Linked DNA regions of Drosophila melanogaster. The protein of the gene in region 2 interacts with the protein of the main gene of each other region in a pairwise test. Each region holds a gene or a part of one and is shown on either strand. Other genes may lie near its edges. The genes, in order: CG8159, mael, ERp44 and koi.

What was found.
Region 1: the proteins of mael (region 2) and CG8159 interact in a two-hybrid assay, tested with the Drosophila melanogaster proteins (one large-scale study listed by BioGRID).
Region 3: the proteins of mael (region 2) and ERp44 interact in a two-hybrid assay, tested with the Drosophila melanogaster proteins (one large-scale study listed by BioGRID).
Region 4: the proteins of mael (region 2) and koi interact in a two-hybrid assay, tested with the Drosophila melanogaster proteins (one large-scale study listed by BioGRID).

What each region holds. Positions count from the first base shown.
Region 1 is NT_033777.3:8,725,143-8,728,898, reverse strand, and holds CG8159 (uncharacterized protein), read right to left. Parts: upstream 2,046-3,756; 5' UTR 1,972-2,045; coding exon 1,852-1,971; intron 1,790-1,851; coding exon 1,242-1,789; intron 1,174-1,241; coding exon 928-1,173; intron 869-927; coding exon 583-868; 3' UTR 529-582; downstream 1-528. Other genes in the region: ranshi, read left to right, coding at 28-273, 333-447; ouib (ouija board), read right to left, coding at 2,366-2,711, 2,775-3,247, 3,296-3,415.
Region 2 is NT_037436.4:22,722,349-22,726,772, reverse strand, and holds mael (maelstrom), read right to left. Parts: upstream 2,541-4,424; 5' UTR 2,208-2,540; coding exon 2,088-2,207; intron 2,043-2,087; coding exon 1,844-2,042; intron 1,788-1,843; coding exon 1,231-1,787; intron 1,169-1,230; coding exon 656-1,168; 3' UTR 539-655; downstream 1-538. Other genes in the region: CG14450 (uncharacterized protein), read left to right, coding at 1-229. UniProt on the Drosophila melanogaster protein: Involved both in the piRNA and miRNA metabolic processes. As a component of the meiotic nuage, plays a central role during oogenesis by repressing transposable elements and preventing their mobilization, which is essential for the germline integrity.
Region 3 is NC_004354.4:16,293,332-16,299,680, reverse strand, and holds ERp44 (endoplasmic reticulum protein 44), read left to right. Parts: upstream 1-2,020; 5' UTR 2,021-2,039; intron 2,040-2,441; exon of another isoform or gene 2,442-2,598; intron 2,599-2,773; exon of another isoform or gene 2,774-2,890; coding exon of another isoform or gene 2,891-2,905; exon of another isoform or gene 2,906-3,010; intron 3,011-3,093; exon of another isoform or gene 3,094-3,196; 5' UTR 3,197-3,314; coding exon 3,315-3,371; intron 3,372-3,410; exon of another isoform or gene 3,411-3,549; coding exon 3,550-3,634; intron 3,635-4,366; coding exon 4,367-4,458; intron 4,459-4,562; coding exon 4,563-4,956; intron 4,957-5,026; coding exon 5,027-5,293; intron 5,294-5,367; coding exon 5,368-5,566; intron 5,567-5,640; coding exon 5,641-5,785; 3' UTR 5,786-5,828; downstream 5,829-6,349. Other genes in the region: CG3632 (uncharacterized protein), read right to left, coding at 1-141, 210-405, 471-661, 841-1,832, 1,897-2,020, 2,891-2,905.
Region 4 is NT_033778.4:6,809,217-6,817,060, forward strand, and holds the start of koi (klaroid), read left to right. Parts: upstream 1-1,802; 5' UTR 1,803-1,959; intron 1,960-2,571; exon of another isoform or gene 2,572-2,685; 5' UTR 2,686-2,712; coding exon 2,713-2,867; intron 2,868-3,315; exon of another isoform or gene 3,316-3,478; intron 3,479-3,564; coding exon 3,565-3,900; intron 3,901-3,956; coding exon 3,957-4,537; intron 4,538-4,820; coding exon of another isoform or gene 4,821-5,098; exon of another isoform or gene 5,099-5,596; intron 5,597-5,843; coding exon 5,844-7,343; intron 7,344-7,400; coding exon 7,401-7,513; intron 7,514-7,576; coding exon 7,577-7,789; 3' UTR 7,790-7,844. Other genes in the region: CG15237 (uncharacterized protein), read right to left, coding at 1-140, 208-295, 354-482; ubl (ubiquitin like), read right to left, coding at 876-919, 985-1,123, 1,183-1,221. UniProt on the Drosophila melanogaster protein: Component of the LINC (LInker of Nucleoskeleton and Cytoskeleton) complex involved in the connection between the nuclear lamina and the cytoskeleton. Is required to nuclear migration in eye and to anchor klar in the nuclear membrane.

The DNA.
Region 1 (3,756 bases), on a different chromosome or scaffold from region 2:
GATCCTAACTAATCCGCTTCATTTAAGATTCTGTGAGGATCGCTTCTGCACGCCGGCGGAACTTAAGCGTCACATTCGCAAGCATACCGGGGAAAAGCCCTTCAAGTGCAGACACTGTTCCCGCAGCTTTTCTGACTACAGCACTCGGTTGAAGCACGAGCGGACTCACACTAACGAACGACCTTTTGTCTGCAAGGAGTGTAACAATGCCTTCACAACATCCTATATTCTTAAGAACCACATGCTCGTGCATACCGGGGAGAAGGCTTTTAGGTAAGCGGGTACTCGAAATAGTACTTAAGTGTAATAATAATAATCTATTCTATTTGCAGGTGCGACCTCTGCGATAAGTTATTCAGTCGCTACACACACCTTACTACCCATTATCGTTCAAATGCTCACAGACGAAACATGCAGAAAGCAGACACAATCTTTGATAAACCCTAAAAGGTATCACTTAAGAAGCTCTTAGTTGAAAACGGTTGCATTACCAAAATAGGAATTTTTACAAAAAAAATCAAAACGGATAATCAAATTGTGAACTATATTTGGCTTTAAAGGTTGAGATGGACTCATTAAGGTCTAGTTTGTACTATACATTAGAGTGGATGTTTCCAGAGCAGCCAGGCCCAAAGACTCATCCTGCTCCTGCTCCGCGGGCAAAGGCACTTCTATCGTAAAGGCATCCGCCTCTGCTTCTGGCTCCTTTTCCGTCACGAATTTGACCTGATCCGCTGACTGGGATGGTGACAGCTGAACTCCACCCGCGTCTGCCATCGATTTCTCCAAGTTGTGCTTATGAGTGTTAGAGCGGAAGTGAGTCTTCAAGTGGGTGGGTCGCGCAAAGGATCGATGGCACAGCTCACATCTGCAAAGGATCGGCTAGGTGATCATTAACTTAAGCACTATTTATCATAGTTTACTAGCCTGAACAGGCGCTCGCCCGTGTGGATAAGCATGTGGTTCTTGAGGATGTAGGAATTGGTAAAGCTCTTGCCGCACTGCGCACAAATAAAGGGTCGATCATTTGTGTGGGTCCGCTCGTGACGCAGGCGACCACTGTAGTTGACGTAGGTGCGGTCACAGTAACGACACTGGAACTTGCGATCTCCAGTGTGCATCACTTGGTGTCCTTTCAGCTCACCGGAGGACAGGAAGCGGGCGGGGCAGAGTCTACATGAGAGCAATGTTACACAGTTAACTATCAGATTGTACAATTGACGAGCTAAAGCTTTTCTTACTCGCACTGAAAGGGCCTAATTCCGCTGTGTTTGCGTAGGTGACGGTCGAAGGAGGACTTCCCTGTAATATTGTTGCCGCACTGATCGCAAAAGAAAACTGGAAGCGTAACCTTTGTGCGATTTTCACCTTTCCCGCCTTTCTTAAGTCCCCGACGTCGGGTTCTTTTCAATCTGACCGGTGAGGTAGTTCCATCATCTTCGGTAGAGCTGGACATCGCTTTAATGGCCAGCTCCATGTCTGCTTCGTTGCAGGAGTCCAGGTGATCGATGCCATCATCCTCCTCATCGCCATTGCTCAGGCTCTCCAGCTTAATCATTACCTCCAGCGGACTTGCTGGCGTCTTTGGAGCGGTGTCTTCATGCCGCTGTCTTTGGGAACGGGCACTGCGACGAACTGAGGAGCGGAATGTGTCCTCTTCATTCCTGACCAGCGACTCTTCAAAGATCTTCTGACTCCTCAAGCAGCGATCACGAAAGGATATGGCGCTTTTCAAATCCGTCTGGCAGGTCTCGCACATCCAGTCGGGTAAACCGGGTTCGCATTGCAGCTGCCAAATAAGATACAACATTTTAATTGAAGGAATTAATGTGTTTCGTAGGGTAGGCTTACCAGAACACCGGTGAGCAAATTGATTTGTTGCAGCACTTTGCAGGCGCCGCTGTTAAATAGTTTCAACGATTTCGAGTTGTCCGTGCTGCTGGCACACACGCGGCACACATTTTGCAGCATTTTACCAGCTTACTCGATTCTAATTAGTAAATTTCCAATTGTAAACAAGACAGCCACCCAAAACTGATTTGCCATTTGCCACGAAGCAGCGCACTAGCTTTTCCACCTGAGACGTTGTCCAGCACTGGCGACTTATAAAACCACTAAATCGTAACGGCTGCTACTAATTAAAATCAAACAATCTATACAAATTTTTTGTTTTCTGTGTCCTACACACTTAAAAGCATTAGCATTTATTTCATTTTGAGAAACAGGTGTGGTGCAAATATTGAGTATACAACTTAAATTCATAAAAATACGATAAGATAAAAATAAGATAGTCCCCTTTTGGGTATCTTTTTATCTCAAGGAGCATGTAAATCTTATTATTTCATAGCTTGAGCTATTTAATCCTTCATGACTTCTGCTTCTTGACATTTTGGAGGTGCATCATGGATCTGGTGTGCGTTACCAGGTGCGCCTTTCTCTGGAAGGAGCGATCGCAAATATCGCATCGGAAATTCCTCTCGCCCGTGTGGATGACCATGTGGTTCTTTAGGACGTAGGCAGTGGTGAACTTCTTGCCACACTCTTCGCACACATAGGGTCGATCGTTGGTGTGAGTCCGCTCGTGGATCAGCCGGCCCATGTAGCTGACATACCGCTTTTCGCAGAAGCGACAGGCAAACGGTTGCTCCCCAGTATGTACCCGGTGGTGGGCACGTAGTTCGCCAGCAGAGAGAAACCTGGCATCACAATCCCTAAAAAGAGAATATGGAATCAGCATACCGAACCTACAGTTGTAATCTGTGAGCGAGGTTTACTTGCAGCCAAATGGTCGTTCGCCTCTGTGTTTTCTCATGTGGCGCTGGAAAGTGGGTTTCGATGTGGCATGAGTCCCGCACAGCTCGCATATGTAAATCTGATCATCCAGTTTGGTTGATACTTTGATAATCTTTTGTGAAGGTACACACTTCTCATCTATTCCATCTTCCCTCAGCTGCGCTTTCGCATCTCTATTCAGAGTTTTGTCCATGGGCTCCTCTTCAATCAGTACCTGAAAAGTTTCTTCAACCAACTCGCCTTCTTTCTTTTTCCCAAAATCGCTGAATGCGCATTTTTCCGATTCCAGTTCCGAATTGTCATTGGTATCTTCATCACCCGACGAAGAGTCGTCCTCGATGGTTAGCCATTTAGTTTGGGTCTTAATGCAAAGCTTCCGGAATGCCAATGCCGATCTGAGTTCCGCCTGACAGCAAAGGCACATGAAACCAGGAACATCGTCCAAATCCACCAACTGGTGCTGATATTATTTATCTCAATTTTAAAACGTCTTTTAACTCACTCTTAGTCCGCTTATCATGTGCAAGTGCTTTAGATATTTTCGGTTGACCAAATCGAAGAGATTCAGGCTCTTCTCACAGATTTTCTGCCTTCCGCAGACTCTACACACGATGTTCAGCATCTCGATCACTAAACTCGACTGATGGAAAGGCAATTGTATGGTGATTACATTTTGAGGCAAACCAGATAAATTATTCATTCAAGGCGGGGATTTTTGAAAGTCAAAATCTTTATTTAAATAGCTATTGATCTGTTAACAACTGGAGCAGTCTGATAAAACAGATACTGCTTATAATATTAAAACTTAATAATAGGTGTAAATAATATTGGTCAAATCGTTAAGCTGAACCATTTCATGGGTGCTTGAAATAAGTACGACCTGCATGCTAATAATGCGCAGGATCAATTTTTGAAAACAAAACATATAGCTTCATATTTCTGTTTCGGTAAATCGAAATAATC
Region 2 (4,424 bases):
ACATCAGATCCCCGAAACAGAGCCCCCGTTGAAGCTGCACAAACAGATCGACTTTCCCGCTGACCTACGCCTCGAATTCTCACAACAAGAGCGCTACCAGCGCGAGCTTCTAGGCCAGGCACTTCTCCTCAGCTTAGCCTTTACTCGTCTCGTGCTTCAGCAAGATCCGCAAAGCATTGCATCTGTATCTCGCAACTCTAAAAACTCCTCTCCAAGTCGAGCCACTTAAAAAGCTACAAGTGTAAGAATATGAACTCGACTCTTTTTGGCCTTTGCACTTTGTATTATAATGACCCGTTGAACAATTTTATGCACAATATTTAACAGGGGTTTTAATAGGAGCAGTTTCTAATGGCACAACTGCATTTCCATGGAATACCATAAACATAGATTATTTTGAGCTTGGCCCCACTTAGCTAATTAGAATTTGTCGCCATCAAAAATATCATGTCTTTCTTTCATTACTGCCCACATATTAGGTCTTAAAAATATTTATTTAGCAGAACTAAAATAAATAAATACTTGATGCTGGCCCTGTCCGTTTGAACGAATTTATTTTTAAATACAAGTAATAGTATTTGTACAGTTTAATGCGATAAGAAAATTATCTATAAGGAATCATTGTTTCTTAGTCCAATTGATAGACCAAAGTGGCTTATTTTTTAAGTTTCCCATCAGCGCCGTTTACGGAGAAGTCGTTGTCTGAAACCTTCCGAATTAAACGCGAGTGCGTCGGTAAGTTCCTAGCGTTCCATTCCCGCTGAGCACTAGCGGCGATACCGTGATGCTTACTAGAATTACGCATGCCGAGGCTGGGGAATTCAGAAACTTCGTTTAAATTTGCGGCAAAGGAAGTGTGGTCTATGGGCTTGTAGGAGCTTGATGCGACGGAAAGTCGACTGCTAGAAAGCGAACAAGCTTCGGGTTGGCTTTCCTTCTTGACCCCAGATCCGGGAAGCGAATAAAAAGAGTCGAAGGAGGACTCGTGGTCGAGTGAGGAGGCGTACGAGCTTATGATAAGGTAGTTGGGTTTTGTTTGGGCAGGTATGTGCTTTCCGGGTTGGACGGTTATGGCCAGGTCTCCGCACATAAAATCAGTGAAGGTATACGCCCATCTAGTCACCATACTCTGGGTACAGTACTTGGTTCGATCATTATCCTCGTGGTACTGCAAAAGTAATCAGGAAGGAAGTCAACTAGGGGTTATCAGAATTGGGAACAGAATCTTACCTGACACGCAATCCCTGCGGTAAACTCGAAAAAGTCTTTCTTAAAAAAAGCATCCGTCGCGAATTTGTTGATTTTCTCGTCATTCAAATCAGCGACATTCATGACCTCCTTCTTCAATATGAATAGCAAGTACTGGATATCAAACACCTGGATTTTTTCGCCCCCGTCCCTGAAGTCATCATCGCACTCCAAATAGCGGAAGCATGACTTCACCATGGTAATATTTTCGGCGGGTGTAAAGACTACTAGGGTCTTGCCTTTTCCCTGGCATTTGGATAAGTAGTCAACAATGTTGCGGTACAGCTTGGTCATGTTCTTCTCCCCCAGCGCGTTGGGCGGCAGCGGCAGGTCGTGAGTGGTTGAAGAGTGAAGCAGGGCATCGCTACCTTGCCCAAAAATGATCTGACCGGGGTCAATCATGGTGCTGTAGATGGATCGGATTCCCTCCTTCAACGAATATTCGCATGCCGCAAACTCGGCGGGCACATAGACGTCGGTGGTCAAGGCTTTAGTGAAGTAGTTGAAGGCAACGAAGACAAACTTGGCATTCTCCAGATCTGCGGCAGCGATTGGAGTTAGTCGAATCCAAATGTCTTCGAAATGTGTGACTTACCATGGGACATCTTGGCGTTTAGCACGAGGCGCTCGATGGTACGTTTCATGTCCATCAAGCTCTCGGTGGCCTCCCTTTGGGCCTTGTCCACCTGGCCGTGGCCGTTGGAACTTTCCCTTTTGGCGCGTTGCGCCACATTTGCGTCCTTGCCGCCTGAGTTGTACGGACCACGCTGCTGGGTGTTCATTTTCTGAAAAGGCTTCATTTATTACAGGGTAGATCCGCAGCATCGACCAAAACTTACCTCCCATATGGTGCCGCAGTGGGAAACAGCCTGCGCCAGCGTCATGCGTCGGCCCTCGGCGTTCCGGTTTCTCCACTCGTTTACGAACATCATAAACCCACTATGCTTCTTAGGAGCCATCTTTACGGGCGTGGCAAGAAGAAGGTCGGTATTTTTGACGGGTAAGGGTAGGTGTTGAGCGCGTGTGCGAGCGAGGTAGCGACTAAAGGCGGTAACCAATGAACAGCACGAGCAATTTATATGAATGTTGTTTGTATGTACGTCTGACCCTACAGAAATGGTTACTTCGGAATGTCGCGGGTGGCTTCTCTTCTGGCTTCTCTCACGCACGATTGACTTCTCTTCCAATGATCTGGTCTGTGGAATATATCACACAATTCTAATGAAGTGAAGCAGTTGTTTTGTCAGACGTCGATTCCGCTGACACTTCAAATATCTATTATTGACTGTTTTGGCGTTGCTGAGCACTAGTATCATTCCAGAACTATCGATTCTGGAATGGAATAAGAGTTTGTAAATTTATAATTAATTTATATTTATAATATAATAATTTATATTTCATAAAAATGGTTTAATCAAACCTAATAGCATAATCATCTATCGTCATGCTTTGTAATCGTATGAATAAACTGCACTTGCAGTTAAAAGCAGCCTAATTAAAGATAATACTGCTTATTTATAAATCAAATGGTCGACCATCGAAAACTAAAAATTTTTTAAATCGAAATTCTCTTTCGTAAAACTACAGTGTAAACAGTTGAGTCGAAAAATTGTACATATGTATGTATATCCACCCACAAAGTCGATGTGCTTTAGGTCTATGAAAAATTCTTTCTTGGAAATGGTTTGTTTAATGGTAAAGTAATAATATTGTTTGTATGTATGAACGATTTGTCTGAATCGGTAAATTCATGCTGAATATGAAAATGGTTTGGTCATCACACCGTTTTTGGTTAAAATGTTGTTGTTAAAATGATAAGCATAATCATTTAGAAAGAACTTATTATACCCGTTAACCGTAGAGTAAAAGGGTATACTAGATTCGTTGAAATGTACATATGTAAAAGACAGAAGGAAGCGTTTCCGATATACAGTAAAATATATACATATATATAGTAAAATTAGTTGTTATATTTTTTATTTGAGTCGAATAAATGCCCCGTCAGTTGACTAAGGACAACGCTAAGAAATAAAAAATGATCGGAGAAATAGTTTTAACGTTTTAGTTTTTTTAAGAGTAAAAATCAAATGCAAATTGAATTGAGAGAACCCTCATTATTTGAACAATATTTGTATCTCGGGAGAGCCTCGCTCTTGGGTTCTTAAGATAAGGAGAAGGTTCAAAGAGAGCAGTCAAATCGGCTTATGTCAGGTTTTAGGATGTTTACAAGAACGGCTGAGTGCCGCTGCCAAAGAATTCTTTATTAGAAACGGATGCTGCGCAGCTGGGATACATTATGGAAAATCAATTAAGTGCAATACTGTTTTAATTGAAGTGGCCGGTTTGGACCACCCGAATACGTCACTATATGTATATATTCATGATCAGCATCAATAGCCGAGTCGATCTGGCTGTGTCCTTCTGTCCGTATGAACGCCGAGATCTCAGGAACTATTAAAGGTAGAAGGTTAAGATTAAGCATACAGATTTTAGAGACAAAGATGCAGCGCAAGTTTGTTAACCCATTTTGCCAAGCCCACTCTAGCGCTCACAAGCCGCATAAAACTGTCACGATCGCACTTTTAATAAATGTGTTGATATATCATCACATTTTTAATAGTCTAGAATTCGTCCAGTAAAAGTTATACTAGATTCTTTCAAAAGGTACAAGCAATTAAGATTAAGATCTCTTGGGCCGCCTGTCTCTCAGTAAGAAATGTCTAGAATTCAGGAAGTAGAAGGTGGATATAAAGTATTCTGCTCTTAATTTTTGTTTAGGAGCAAGAGGGCGGAGAACTCTACAGCCATCAGCTGTTTTTACGCATCCAGTGACAACCGACAAGTGCATCTGTGCACATTTTACAATAGAAAGGTCGCATATTTTTATTTATTTTATAAATATTAACTTTTAACTATGTATGTTTGTATTATTTTTACAAAATATATTTTTAAATATGTATTTTCTCATTTTGTTAAATTTATGTTTTAAATTACAAAACTAATAATTATAGTTCTAGATAGCAACTTTATTTATAAGTTGAAATATTGATGAAATTAATGTTAATGCTTTAAAAAGTATTGCTCACAGTGCCCTGTTGAAATTTTGCAAAAAAATTGCCAAAAACTCCAAATATGTAGAATATGTATGTAAATTTTCTTGAATGAAAATTTATTTC
Region 3 (6,349 bases), on a different chromosome or scaffold from region 2:
TATTTGATGCACAAGATCAAGCCACTGCAGAAAAACTGGACATCGCTCGTTAACTTCATCGGAATTGGGACCATTTCCAGAGCGATCGGCGAATTTGTGTCCAAAGTTCAGCCATTCACGCTCGACAAGAACGCGGAACCCCTGCAAATACAAGCAAGTAGGTAGAGTATTAGTCCATAGAACACAAATGTTGATGTATATCAACGTACCTCAACCGTTCTGTAGTAGGGATCCAAACATAATTGCGCCGTGGCCACGATCTGTGGAGTGCGATCCCAACCGTCTGAGCAATGTACAAGGACGGGTCGTCCATTCTTCTCGATGGTGTGCACAACGGTCATGGTGGCTCCCAGCAGACCCGACAGGTGCTGCATCCACATGGTCTTTTCCAGTTGTCCGTACCAGCTGCAAGAATATGATTCCATTACATAAATATATATATATCTTTAATAATCAGCTAGTAAACTTACTTTGGATCATCGGGGGATGACGCGCATAGCTGTCGGACAGCGTGGAAACTCTTTCGAATGGCGTGGATGTTGCCCAAGTTCATAAACTCAATCTCTGCACAGGGATAGTACTCGATGCACTCACAGCCGCCACCTCTGGCACGATTTGTAACTGCGGAGGTGTAGCTGCGAGCATCCACAATGAGGATTTTCTGAAAGCAAATACAATTTAAGAGCAATGATCAAATTATTTCATTAGCACTTGGCGGTTTTGACATCATTTTACTGCTCCGTGTTAAGTAATTTATGATAATTATTCATGAATGTTTTCTTATATGGTAACTGAAACCTTCATTTCAAGAATACCCGGCTATTTTGGTAATAAACTTACCTTGATTTCATCCAGCGTGAGTTCCTCATGCGAGGAATCGTCCAGAGATGGTGAACTCTTGCCGGATAAGCCCGACTGGCCGTTGGTCTCCTTGGAGCCCTTTGTTGGTTGCGCCTTTGCATTGGCGCAGGTGGAATGCCTGGCGTGCTCGCCCCTGTCAAAGGCACAGGCATCGGCGAGTGCCTTGAGTAGCTGCTCGTCCCTTGTGTTGCGCCAGCCGAGCCAACCGACCTCCGGCTGGCTGCATCGGGCCAAGATGGCACCCGACTTTTGGTGCCGCCAGACGACAGCCGGCAGCCTTCGTGATCCCCGGAAGTTGGCCACGTTGTGGAGCATCTCATCGGTGATACAGCAGGGCACAAGCAATTTGGGTGGATACGAGGGACAGAGCTTAAAATCGGCATTGGCCGTGGAGATGCGCCACGAGCCCTTCAGATCGAATCCCAAGCGGGCAACCTCGTTCTTAAAGTCGCTTTCATAGCGCACTGATCGTTGCAGGCGATTGCTCATGGCGGCTGAGATGGTCTCGCTGGCAGGATCGGGCAGAGGATTCGACGCTGTGACGTTGGCTGTTGGCTTTGCCAAGCCATTGTGTAGCGTTAGGCAACGATCCTTGGCAATCAGGCCGTTTCCGTTGGCCTGGGCGCTAACGATACCGCTTCCATTGCCACTTCCGAGCACATCGCAGGTCCAGGAGTAGAAGGGAAAGGCGAAGAGTGTCTCCAGTGACTCGGGAACCCCGATCATCAGATGGATCCGGCGCTGCCAGTCGGAGCACTGTTCCGCCGACGGAAAGGAGCAGCGCACAGTGCTGGCATCCTTACAATTGACAATCAGCTGGAACAGATCTCGCACCTGTACGGATTCGATTAATCCCAATGGAACGTAGGTCTCGTAGCCGGTTGACTGCTTGGAAAGGAATATCCGATAATTGGACAGGGCGAGGATACCATCATCCGTGCGCCCCAGGTACTTAATCGATTCGCCGGCCACTAGTGGTATATATACTATAGATTAGCATGTGTTATCGGTTACAGCATATGGGGGAACACCTACACTCTTGAAACGGGACGAACAGCTGGGAGTCTTCCTTCTCCATTTGTGACTTTGGATACGATTCGGCGGCACGGATAAAGCAAATCGATGGAGGCGGTGATCCATCGGACATTGTGTGAATCGGCTAAAAGAATACTTAACATGTAACGTATTCGAAATTACTTATTTGCTTATATTTAGGCAAGGCGATTTGGGTGTCATTGGAAATCCGGTTATCGCTTATAAGTGCATATATCTCTTATATCCACCATCCGAATACATAATTACGCACAACAGTGTGTGTGCGATGTTATTGGGACGATTCGATACGTATAGTATAGTGGCTCCCATAAATAAATAAATAATACTATGCACATATGTGCATGTGCATTAAGCAGTGCACAAACAAAGCCAAATAAATGTCACTGGGATGATAAATTGGGCACAATCAACACTTTTAGAACAAATCGAAGTTAATATTTGAGTTTTTGAGTGTCGTGGTGGCAATATAGATAATGCACTGCATATATATGCACGTATGGATGTACAATGTACAATGAACATACATTTATGTGAGCACACACAGTTGCAGTTCCACAAGGTGCGCAATATATAGTATGCACATATTTGTGTGTCGCTGCATTACATACGCACGCACATATATACCAATAGACTAGATTATCACGATTTCATAGCCAATAGGCGAAAAATGGCCGATTATCGTACTCAACGTATTCTAATGGCCGTGTATGTTGTCATAAACAAAGTAATTAAACATTTACGCATGTGTATGTTTGCATAAACTCATATGTATATTTGTCTATGTAGGTATGTTTGTGTTTCGATATTTCGGGGAGCAACAATAACACATTACAATCGTACATATGTATGCACACACATTTGGTTTTTGGATTCCACAAACCGTTCGCTCAGCAGACTTTTCGGGGTATTTAGCTCAAAACGTATTGCCGAATTGAAAACGCGCTTGGCTTCTAGATTTTCTCGCTCTATTTACCACCATAAAATCCATAAGCGTCAGCTATTATAAACAAAGATTTGCAAATGTTGTTGCACATACATATGTATGCATATGTATTCATTTAGACACTTTTTGTTTCATTTCCATTGAAATTGCTATCGTTGTTTGCTGCTATCGCTGTTATCGCTGCTGTTAGCGATGGCCAAGTCATGTGACTAAGCTATCGTTACTCGATTGCCGATGAGATGTGCATTCGAGACTAACCAACACTGGCCAGCCGATAAAATCAACCAAAAATTTGTAAAACTTAATAATTGTGCGTACGTTTGCATTCCATTCCAGCTGATGTGTAACTGAAATCAGAAAAAAAGAGAACCGATCGCTTGGACTCTCCGCCGGTGCACGCAATTCTACGCCCACTCCTCGCCAGCCGCATTCGCCATTCGGAAGCCGAACAAGAATGTTTGGAGCCAGAATCGGAATCGGAAAGCTTGGGCCGTGTGTGGCCCTAGTTGCGGTGAGTCGACGTGTTCCGTTCTGTCTGGTCATGTTGCTGGTCACTGGAGTGGCTCACCCGCTCGATCAGCGGGCGGGGAAACAGTGGGGAGGGGCCGGCCAGACAGCCCCGGCTTTTTTTTGGCTCCCCCTAACCAAATAACTAACTAACCAGAACTGACATCCTATGGAATTTACAGATTCTACAGCTACTCCAGTACACACAGCCGGCCGATGCCGCCGGAGCCGTGCCCATGACCAGTGATAATATCGATATGACCCTAGGTGAGATATGCCCATACCATAACCATCACAGTCATCCCCATGCCATTCCCGCTGCCAGCGTGAGCGGGAATCAATTAGCCGACTTGTCCCATTGACGTGTCACTAAACAAAATCACTGGCTCGCTCAATTCGGCACTGCCAACGTGGTAAAATAAGTTTTATGCGCTTTCGTAAAGGACAAGGTGTGGAATTTGGATAAAACTTAATTAGGGCGGTTTATATTTCATGCTGCATCGGTCCGATAGTCCGCCAAAATGGGCACTAGCCATTGGTCGGCAGTTCTTTGCTCAGAATGTCCGAAGTTTGGTCTTTGCATGAATAGGTCCTTTTTATACGGTGTGTCCTGTACACAATCCTGCGGTAATACTATATTGTTTTTTTAAAGTTATTTTTTTTTATTATCCAAACGTTAACTTTTACAGTAAAGCCTGGCCTTAGGCTTGCACCCCTTAAATTTTAACTTTCGGAAGTTATGGAATAGTAGGATGCTAGAAATTTCTTGACTTTAATATGTATATTCAGCGACAAATTTAAATATATTCCATAAAAATACATATGCATTTAAATTATTAATACATAAACCCGTAATTCAATATTGATATAAATATATTACCAAATATATGTTTTTAAAAGTTATTATATTTAGTATCTGAACGGAGTTGTATTCTACGCATCAACAATTTTACACACAATTTGGTGCCTACATTAAAAACACGTTTTGTTTTCTTGCAGCGTCTAATGAATTGGTTTTCCTTAATTTTTATGCGGAGTGGTGTCGGTTTAGTAATATTTTAGCACCTATATTCGCGGAAGCTGCAGATAAGGTGAGTCAAATGGATCGCCAGTAAAAGCTTACAAACAATGCGATACATTCATATACATTTTATATCGAATAAATACGTGGCATTCAATCGAATTTCTCTTACAGATTAAAGAGGAGTTTCCAGAGGCTGGAAAAGTGGTGCTAGGCAAGGTCGATTGCGACAAGGAAACGGCCATCGCGTCCCGTTTCCACATAAACAAGTATCCAACATTGAAAATTGTACGCAATGGGCAGCTCAGCAAGCGCGAATACCGAGGACAGCGTTCAGCCGAAGCGTTCCTCGAGTTCGTCAAGAAGCAGCTGGAGGATCCCATTCAGGAGTTCAAATCCCTGAAGGATCTGGAGAACCTGGACTCGAAGAAGCGCCTCATTCTGGGCTACTTCGATCGTAGGGACCAGCCAGAGTACGACATATTCCGCAAGGTGGCGACAAATCTGAAGGAAGACTGCCAGTTCCACGTGGGCTTCGGAGATGCCGCCCAGGCCATGCATCCACCAGGTGAATTCTATCAAACGCACCAAGTCATGCCAAGCCAATACTGAATGTCAGCTTTTTTGGTCTATTACAGGTACACCTATCATAGTATTTAGACCTGATGTAGCTCTGTCTCATGAGAACGATGAGACCTACACTGGCAGCCTACAAAATTTCGATGAGCTCAAAATTTGGGTCCAAGAGAAGTGTGTACCCCTGGTGCGGGAAATAACATTTGAGAATGCAGAGGAACTTACGGAGGAGGGTCTGCCGTTCCTAATTCTCTTCCACCACCCAACCGATCATAATTCTATCAAGGATTACAAGTCGATCATTGAGCGTCAATTGCTGGATGAGAAACGTAAGATGAATCATCGTGTTGTTTACTTTGCATATAAGCATTTGGTTTGACATTGTATTTTCGAAATTTTGCAGAGAACGTCAACTTTTTGACCGCCGATGGCAAGCGATTCGCGCATCCTCTGCACCATCTGGGTAAATCCGAGGATGACTTGCCCTTGATTGCCATCGACTCGTTCAAGCACATGTATCTGTTCCCCCACTTCAGTGACATGTACTCGCCGGGTAAGCTGAAGCAGTTCCTTCAGGATCTCTACAGTGGCAAGCTGCACAGGTAATTGTTATACAGCCGCCTTTGCTAACACCATGGGGCTCAATTACTAAACGGTCTGCTGCTTTGCTTTCCAGGGAATTTCATTACGGGCCGGATCCCTCAAATGATATTGAACCTGACCCACACACTGGCAAGGGTACATCGCCACCAGAGTCCAAATTCAAGGAACTTGGCCCATCCAAGCATCGCTACACCCTGCTAGAAAAAGATGAACTGTAATATAATAATAATAATGTATATTGAAAATAAAAGAAAATAATACAAAAATGTAATAATGAGCAACCTTCTCTGAAAGCAGATCAGCAGGTGAGCGGTTATCCATGCAAATAGCGGGCGCAGCAGCCTCAATTCTCTTCAATGCAATTCTAAAAATAAAAAGTCTGGATTTAACCACCTTTGTTATTGCAAAAAGAAACAGTTGCTGAATTATCCACAAATTGCACGCGTCACTTTTCAAGTTTTCCTCGTTTTGTTGTTAAAAATTACGCTGGAGATTTCGGCGAGGCGAACTTATTGAATTCTTTGGAATCCCCTTCTTAGTCAGCTAAGCTGGAAATGAATGATGTCAACTTCCGAATTCAAAGCAGTGATTTTGATTTTCTCTATATATATATATATATACACATATATATGAGCTATATATGTATACATATATATATGTTTATTCGTATGTACCATGTTACAGTTACAGTTGTTAAATTAGATTACATAATTATATAATATAATTCAGTCAAAACGAGCGATAACCGTGTGTGTGTTGGGATAAAAATCGGTTCAAATGAA
Region 4 (7,844 bases), on a different chromosome or scaffold from region 2:
TTAGGGGGCTGTGGGTGAGGTCTCGTCGTTCATCTGAATGTCGTCGGCGGAGTAAAAGTCCTGGGTTACCGGGATGACGCGGTCGTTGGTCTCGTCATCCTCCTCATCGTGACTGTCCGTGTCCTCGCTGTCGTCGTTGGCTGCACAAGGGCAATTGGACGTAAAAACGATAATGGTAATCCGAATGCAGTGTCCTGCCGTACTCACCATCCTCGTCGTCGGTCTCAATTCCGGGTATGGTGAGCATTTTGCCCAGCGGCTGCAGATCTGTGCCGGCCGTCTTAAGGGACTCTCGCTGTACGGTTTAAGTTTATAACAATTTATACAGAAAGCGGTGTCTGGAGAGAACTCACCCAGTTGCTCCTTTCATCCTCATAACGCCGCGTCTGCGATTCTTCGTTTACGGAGGCAGGAGCCATGTCCAACCAGTAGCGATTGGCCACGGAGACTTTGAGCGTGGGAAAGAATGGAATCATTGACATTTTCGACGGAATCTTGAATGCGCTGTTTTCAATATTTGTTGTTCTTTCTCTGGAAGCCTTTGATGCGATCTGGCAACGCCGCAACATACGCTGTAAATAATACCAATTTTACAGGGGCGTAGTCGTAGGGGCGCATTAAACGCAAATTACAATATTAATTGTAATTGTAATTCATCAATCTAACTATGTATTTTGTTATTGTCAAGGGAAGTCCGATAACCAAGGGCTTAATACAGCTTACTCAAAAATATATATCTTCACTATTACAAATTGACCTTAAGAATCAGAACATAACCAAAACGAATAATATATATTATTCAAAATCTTTTTATTTATTAAAGAAGCTATAAAAATTGGACAAACTAGACACAGGAACGGTATTCCCTTGCAGTTTTATTGGTAGTAAAGTTCCAGATTCATGCCATCGTGAATTTCATCTAAGAAAGCGAAAAAGAAATGCGGGTAAAGCAAGGCGTTACAAGGACACTAAACAAGGGCTTACAGTCAGATAGGCGAATCGGGTCCTTGAAGATTGTGTACCACTTCTTCAGGACAATCTTCTCGTGCTTTGTGCCCGTTTGTGCCGCGATTAGTTTCTTGAGGTCCCCAATCGTGTCGTCCGGGTTGCACTTGACGCGCACCTGTGGGTTAATCGTTGGTTAACGATGCTTGCAGTTGCCTTGGGTACTTAGCTGCTTACCTTCTTGCCAAGACGATCGTTACACGTTATTTCTATCATATTTTATGGCTTTGCTAGACAAATCACAACAATAAATTCTTGATTTGTTGTGGTATTATTGCTTAGGGTTGTCAAATACCCTTTACCGAATACCGAGTGGTTTGAGGGATCGCTAATTGTCCGCAATGCTATCGATATTTTATTTAATTTTAAATATGTTTAAATAACAATCATATAGAAAGTCGAAGTTAAAGATATCAGAAGTCTGAAAGTATACTTAGAAAGCTCAATTGCTTGTCATGACGCAAATCTATCACATCCTTGTAAAACGATAATATTTGTTAACAAATTTATATTTAAATTTCAGTCTTCTTCTTAGTTATCAAGCCAGAAGTCGAATGTTTCGGCGTTAATAGAAAAATAATGTATGTTTGCATATTTGCACACCTCATTCAAATTATTTTTCTTTGTTGAACAAAAGATAAAAGTGTAAAAATTAAATTTTTTATTCTTGACCCATTATTTCTCTTGGTTAATGAAAACAAATTCCGTTTCTCAACGTTCCCTTTAATAATCCATGTGAACAATCGATAGGCGGCGAAACATCGATGATTGCTAGAATAATCGATGTGTCTTCCCCGTTCATTCGAATTTTTTCGCCGCTCGGAATAGACGTGATTTTGCCGTCGTGACGGTGGAGGCTATTTTTAAAACGGTCGCGGCGCTTGCAAACAAAATTCATATCCAGCTATTCAACGGAGGAATTCATTAGTACGGCAGTACAAGAAATATTACTAAGTATGTCACATATTTGCGGGCAAACTGCCGAAAGCACTGTGCGGAGTTTTTGTTTGTGTGCGTGCGTGCCTCATTTTTACATTCACGTACATACATATGTACATATATGTACGCTATGACGCAGCTGTGGAAAACTTGTTTGGGTTTCCATTTCACCGAATCACGGAATCAACGAATATTTGCGCCTGTGCTGCGAACTCATTTTGGGCAGTAAGCCATTGTATTGATTATCGCGCGTTGTTTGTGGATGGCGTGGTCCGCCGGAGCACCCTGTAGCGTCTACATCCCTACCCCGCTCCCTGGAGTCCGATATCTGTGCGCGAAAGGCCGGGCGGGCGTCGTTTTCGGCTATGTGGCCCAACACCAATGGATCCCCACGGTCACTGGCAGCAATTCGCGATCCGAAATGCTCCGCCCTATTTTTAGACGCGGTCTTTGCGGCCTGCCTACTTACCTACCTCCCCAATGCATTCTAATTAAAAACCGGGCACTGCGCTCATTTCCACACGCATTGCATTGCATAATGCGGCATTAATGTGGCGGGGAAAGCTCGCTTCGGAAAGCACTCGAGCATTGAAGTGAAGAGACCGAATGTTTTCCAGCTGCCCAATTGTAAACAACCCACGCCTAGCACGCACACACACGCACACGCACACACACACAGACTGGTTTTAATGTTTACTCCAAATAAATCGTTGCCCATGTTAATTATTTGTGTCTTCGCAGGGCCCGAGCACTGGAGGGAATCTAATCATGAGCGAAAATACATACCAGATAGAAACGCGTCGGCGGTCGCGTTCCAAGACCCCCTTCCTGAGATCGAGCTGCGACCATGAGAACTGTGAGCACGCCGGAGAGGAGGGGCATGTGCACCACCTCAAAAGGAAATCGGCGGCCCCCAATGTGCAGTAAGTATCTGGGATACTCCCGAAATAGGCCTACGGACGAAGCCCTTTATCGCGAACCCATAACATTATTTTTAGCCCTTATAAGTAGTAAAATTGTAAGCATACAATATGTTTACGGAGTTCGAGTCAATTTCATTTTGAGAATTAGGAGAATTCAGTTTAAACTCTATAATTATTTCCTATTTGGTCCTGAGTCACCTTTTTCTATACTGACCATTGGTTTCAGTAAGCAAGTTGGACTGTAGTAAGACACATCCATAGCGACTGTATGTTTGTATGCCGTGTGCTGCCGCCATGACGTCACCTTTTTGTTATTCACGCTCGCCGCGAATTTGAATTTCGAAGCGGGTAGAAAACGAAGGCAAAGCCGCATACAGGGTGCAGCATCTGGTCGAGCTTCGTTAGTTTTTGGCGCCTATTTCGAGAGCGCCTGGTCGGTCTGATGATCAGTCTTCAAGACTCGATGACGACATTCGGAGTCCAACGTCGGCCGTCAGAAATCGTTTTCACGTTTTAGCCTCTAAATCGAGCATGCTGGGGTGGGCTAACAGTCGTTTGCGCTGAAGGCCAGCGGCGGTTATAAGCATATTTTTGTGTTTTTGTTTTGATACGTTGTACTCGTCGTTTCAAACGATTCCGAGCACGTTATCACGGACTTACTGAAATATTTTTCCCAAATCTTACCTCTTCTCTGCAGAACGATAATAGAGGAGCATATAGTGGAGTCGAGTATCAGTAAGAAAACCCGGGCAAAAGCGTTCGCCCAGCTGACCTCGGACTATTCGAGCGACGACATGACTCCGGATGCCAAACGCAAACAGAACTCGATCACGGCCACAGTCACGTCGATTCTCACCAAGCGATCCGGCGGCGCCACATCGACACCGCGGAACAGAAGCCAGCTGGAGACCACACAAAACACGCTGAATTCCGCCCAGGAAAAGCTAAACCAATCGAACGGTAACCTCAGCTCGGGAAATGTCAGCGATTATCTGGCCTACATCGAGTACAGGGATGCTGGTGAATACTGGAAGTGAGTGAATCATTTCTACACATTTTAAACAGTATACTAATGATGCTATTTTGCAGCAAAACTCCCAAGACGGACTATACCTACTCAGAACTGTCCCCTCACCGACGCCAGTTGGCGCCAGGAATTGTGGCCATGCCCAATATGTCCAGAAAGAGCCTAGAGAACCATAACGATCGAGTCAACTACATGGTCCAGCAGAACCCTGCGCAAGAGGAGTTCATCCGCCGCCGCTACCAGTCCAAGTATACCCAGCAGGTTAACTATGACTCCGCAGATGAACTGGACGCCACATTTGGGCAGCAAAAGCAGAGCTGGTGGCTTATCCGCCTCATCCAACTGGTTGTTAGCAGCATTACCACCGTGTGGAGTCGGGTGACCAATCTCTCGGCCACGGAGACGACTGCCTATCAAAACTACCACGCTAAGCGCCAGCAGAGTCAACAAGTTGGACTTTGGTGGAAAATAGTACAGACCATCGGAGGAGGACTTGCAAGTTTGCTGCGCTACCTGTATGTTTTCATCGGATCGGTGCTGAGTTTGGACACGTGGTTGCTGCGATCCTCGGATGCGGAAAACAAGTCGAAAAAGCGCTTCCTCATATTTCTGCTGATTTTGTTGCCCTTGCTGCTGCTGTCGGGTGAGTAGGATTTAAAGCACCGTCCGATTTTTGATGTAAAGTAAAATATGTTAGAGCGTGTGCCGTGACCTTGTACCGGTTCGAGAATTCATACTACATGCATATAGATCACCTCCAGTCGTTGTATTTATAAACTCGTCTGGTCGTTGGCAGTCGCGTGACGCCATCGATAATTTGTTAGTAAAATCCCGCGGATCAGATTTAAGTGGCCATGTGATGACATATTTTATTTTCCATTCACCGTCTGCCAAGGTTAAACGCCTAATTTGCTTTGCCTTTGCAGGTCTGTTCTATTACATACACCCCAATGAAACTTTCCCACCCAAATCCCTGTCCGAATACACATTCACCCTACCTGAGTTGCCCAAAATCGATGTGAAAGACTACCTGAACCAGGAGCAGTTCGAATCGCTACGCTCTCAGGCCGCCGAGCATGCGGTCCGCGTTCGCGATTGGGCCGACGACTACGTTTTGTACTTGAGAACCATCGGTCAGAACGTGGTCAACAAGGGTCGTCAGTTATTTCAGGGCGATGATAAAGTCTATTATGAGCGTGTGTAGGGAACATCTGCAATGGGCAGGCTACAGCTACCAGATTTAGTGATCTGGTTGGGTGCAACGCCCCTTGCACTTAGACAAATATGAGAAACTTTCTTTATGAACAATATGAGTACAAAATAAAGCATTTGATCCGTTTTTTGTCCGTCTGCTTGACCCGCAGTTTTGCGCACTTACTTTATAGTTTTTCGTCCCGTCATTTACCCACTTCATAGGCAAACCCACCTCTCATACCCCACCATACTAACCGACACAATTCCCAACAAAATGCAACATCACAGGCTGATGGGAGAAGGATAGAGCTCGCCGCTGTTCAAATTGTAAAACTTTCGTAATCGTTAACTTCATTCTTGTCCAACAATTAGGGCCGTTATCCGTCTGGGTTAGTGCCCTAACTAAATCTTACTTGTTGTTAAACAACGTTTAATTGTAATTTGTGCACTGTTTGCTTTGTAATAGTCTATACAAAAATAAATCGCAAACAATTTCATATGAAACATCAAGTACAAAGAAGAGTTGTTTGTTTTATTTGCCATTTGTTGGAAGTTCGCTAAATGGTAAGTAAGATGTAAACAAAGCAATATTAGTTGGCCAGAATCGAACTCTATCCTTCTGCATTTGTGTTGGAATAACCCCAAAAACGAGTTCCCTGTTACCTCAGTCCGGTTGATAATTGAAGTTGGTAGGGACTGTAAATGTAGAAGGATTGCCAACTAATAGTGCTATGTTTAATTTTCTCCTTCCCCAGGATGGTTGCTCTTGCAGGAGGATCAACGTAGTGCTTACGTTCAGCGTGCGGAAGCACTGTTGCCGCTGCCACTATCTATTTTCGGCTCCCTACGTAGTCGATTTTCAAATGCTGGAGCCACCTTGAAAAGTTGGATGGAAGTGCCCACCGTCAGGAGTCCCCAGCGGGAAGCCGAGGCCATTAAGGTAAACATGGCCAGCATTGAACAGAACATCCAGAAAGCCTTGACTGCCGAGGAATACGAAAATATCTTAAACCATGTAAACAGCTACGTGCAGCAGTTGGTCGAGCTGAAAATGCAGCAGCATTCCAAGGAGCTCGCACCGCAACAGATTGAACTCTTTGTTAAGCTGATGAAGGAAAACCTCAAGCAGATTATGTACAAAACGGAGCTAAGCGAAAAGGATTTGTCTGATCTGGCCATAAAACTGAAACTGGAGCTGCAAAGCTCAGGCGGTTGGCAAGATGGAGCGAAACTATCACAAGCTAACTTAGAGGAGATAACCAAGCTAATTAAAGCAGAGGTTCACCTCCACGAATCGCACTACACCATTCAATTGGACAGGATAGACTTTGCATCCCTGCTGGAGCGTATTCTTGCTGCGCCAGCATTGGCAGACTTTGTAGATGCTCGAATAAGTCTTCGGGTGGGAGAGCTCGAGCCAAAGGAGAGTTCCGGTTCCTCAGATGCAGAAGTCCAAATTGAGCGTCTGAACAGGGAAATCGCCTTCATTAAGTTGGCTCTCTCTGACAAGCAAGCGGAGAACGCCGATCTGCACCAATCAATCAGCAATCTGAAGCTCGGCCAAGAGGATTTGCTGGAACGCATACAGCAGCACGAACTTTCCCAGGATAGGCGCTTCCACGGGTTGCTGGCTGAAATAGAAAACAAACTGTCTGCGCTTAACGACTCGCAGTTTGCTCTTCTCAACAAGCAGATCAAGCTATCCCTTGTCGAAATTCTGGGCTTTAAGCAATCCACCGCTGGCGGTTCCGCTGGCCAATTGGATGACTTCGATCTGCAGACCTGGGTACGCAGCATGTTTGTGGCCAAGGACTACCTGGAGCAGCAGCTGCTAGAGCTGAACAAGCGCACCAATAACAACATTCGCGACGAGATTGAGCGTTCGAGCATCCTGCTGATGAGCGACATTAGCCAACGACTCAAACGGGAGATTCTTCTGGTTGTGGAGGCCAAGCATAACGAGAGCACCAAAGCGTTGAAGGGCCATATCCGCGAAGAGGAGGTGCGCCAGATAGTCAAGACGGTGCTAGCTATTTACGATGCCGACAAGACGGGCCTGGTGGACTTCGCCCTGGAGTCGGCGGGCGGCCAAATCCTTTCCACGCGTTGCACTGAGAGCTACCAGACAAAGTCAGCCCAGATATCGGTGTTTGGAATTCCACTCTGGTATCCCACCAACACGCCGCGGGTCGCCATTTCACCCAATGTGCAGCCAGGGGAATGCTGGGCATTCCAAGGGTTTCCCGGATTTCTAGGCAAGTCGCGGGTAAATAGTAATTGCTAAAACAGTCCTTATAGTTTTCTTCCCACAGTGCTAAAGCTCAACTCGTTGGTGTACGTCACTGGATTCACCCTAGAGCACATACCGAAGAGTCTATCCCCCACAGGAAGAATAGAATCAGCTCCTCGCAACTTCACTGTCTGGGTAAGTTTGACTAAGGGTGAAAGGAAGTGGTGCATTTCTAATACGACTTATCCATCAACTCAGGGCTTGGAGCAGGAGAAGGACCAGGAACCCGTATTGTTCGGCGATTACCAGTTTGAGGACAATGGTGCTTCCCTCCAGTACTTTGCCGTTCAAAACCTGGACATCAAACGGCCGTACGAGATCGTCGAACTGCGGATCGAGACGAACCATGGCCATCCCACCTATACATGCCTCTACCGGTTTCGCGTGCACGGCAAGCCGCCGGCCACATAAATCTGTTCAAATCTCTTCTAGTGACCTAAGTACTGCCAGGTGTACATAATGTCTG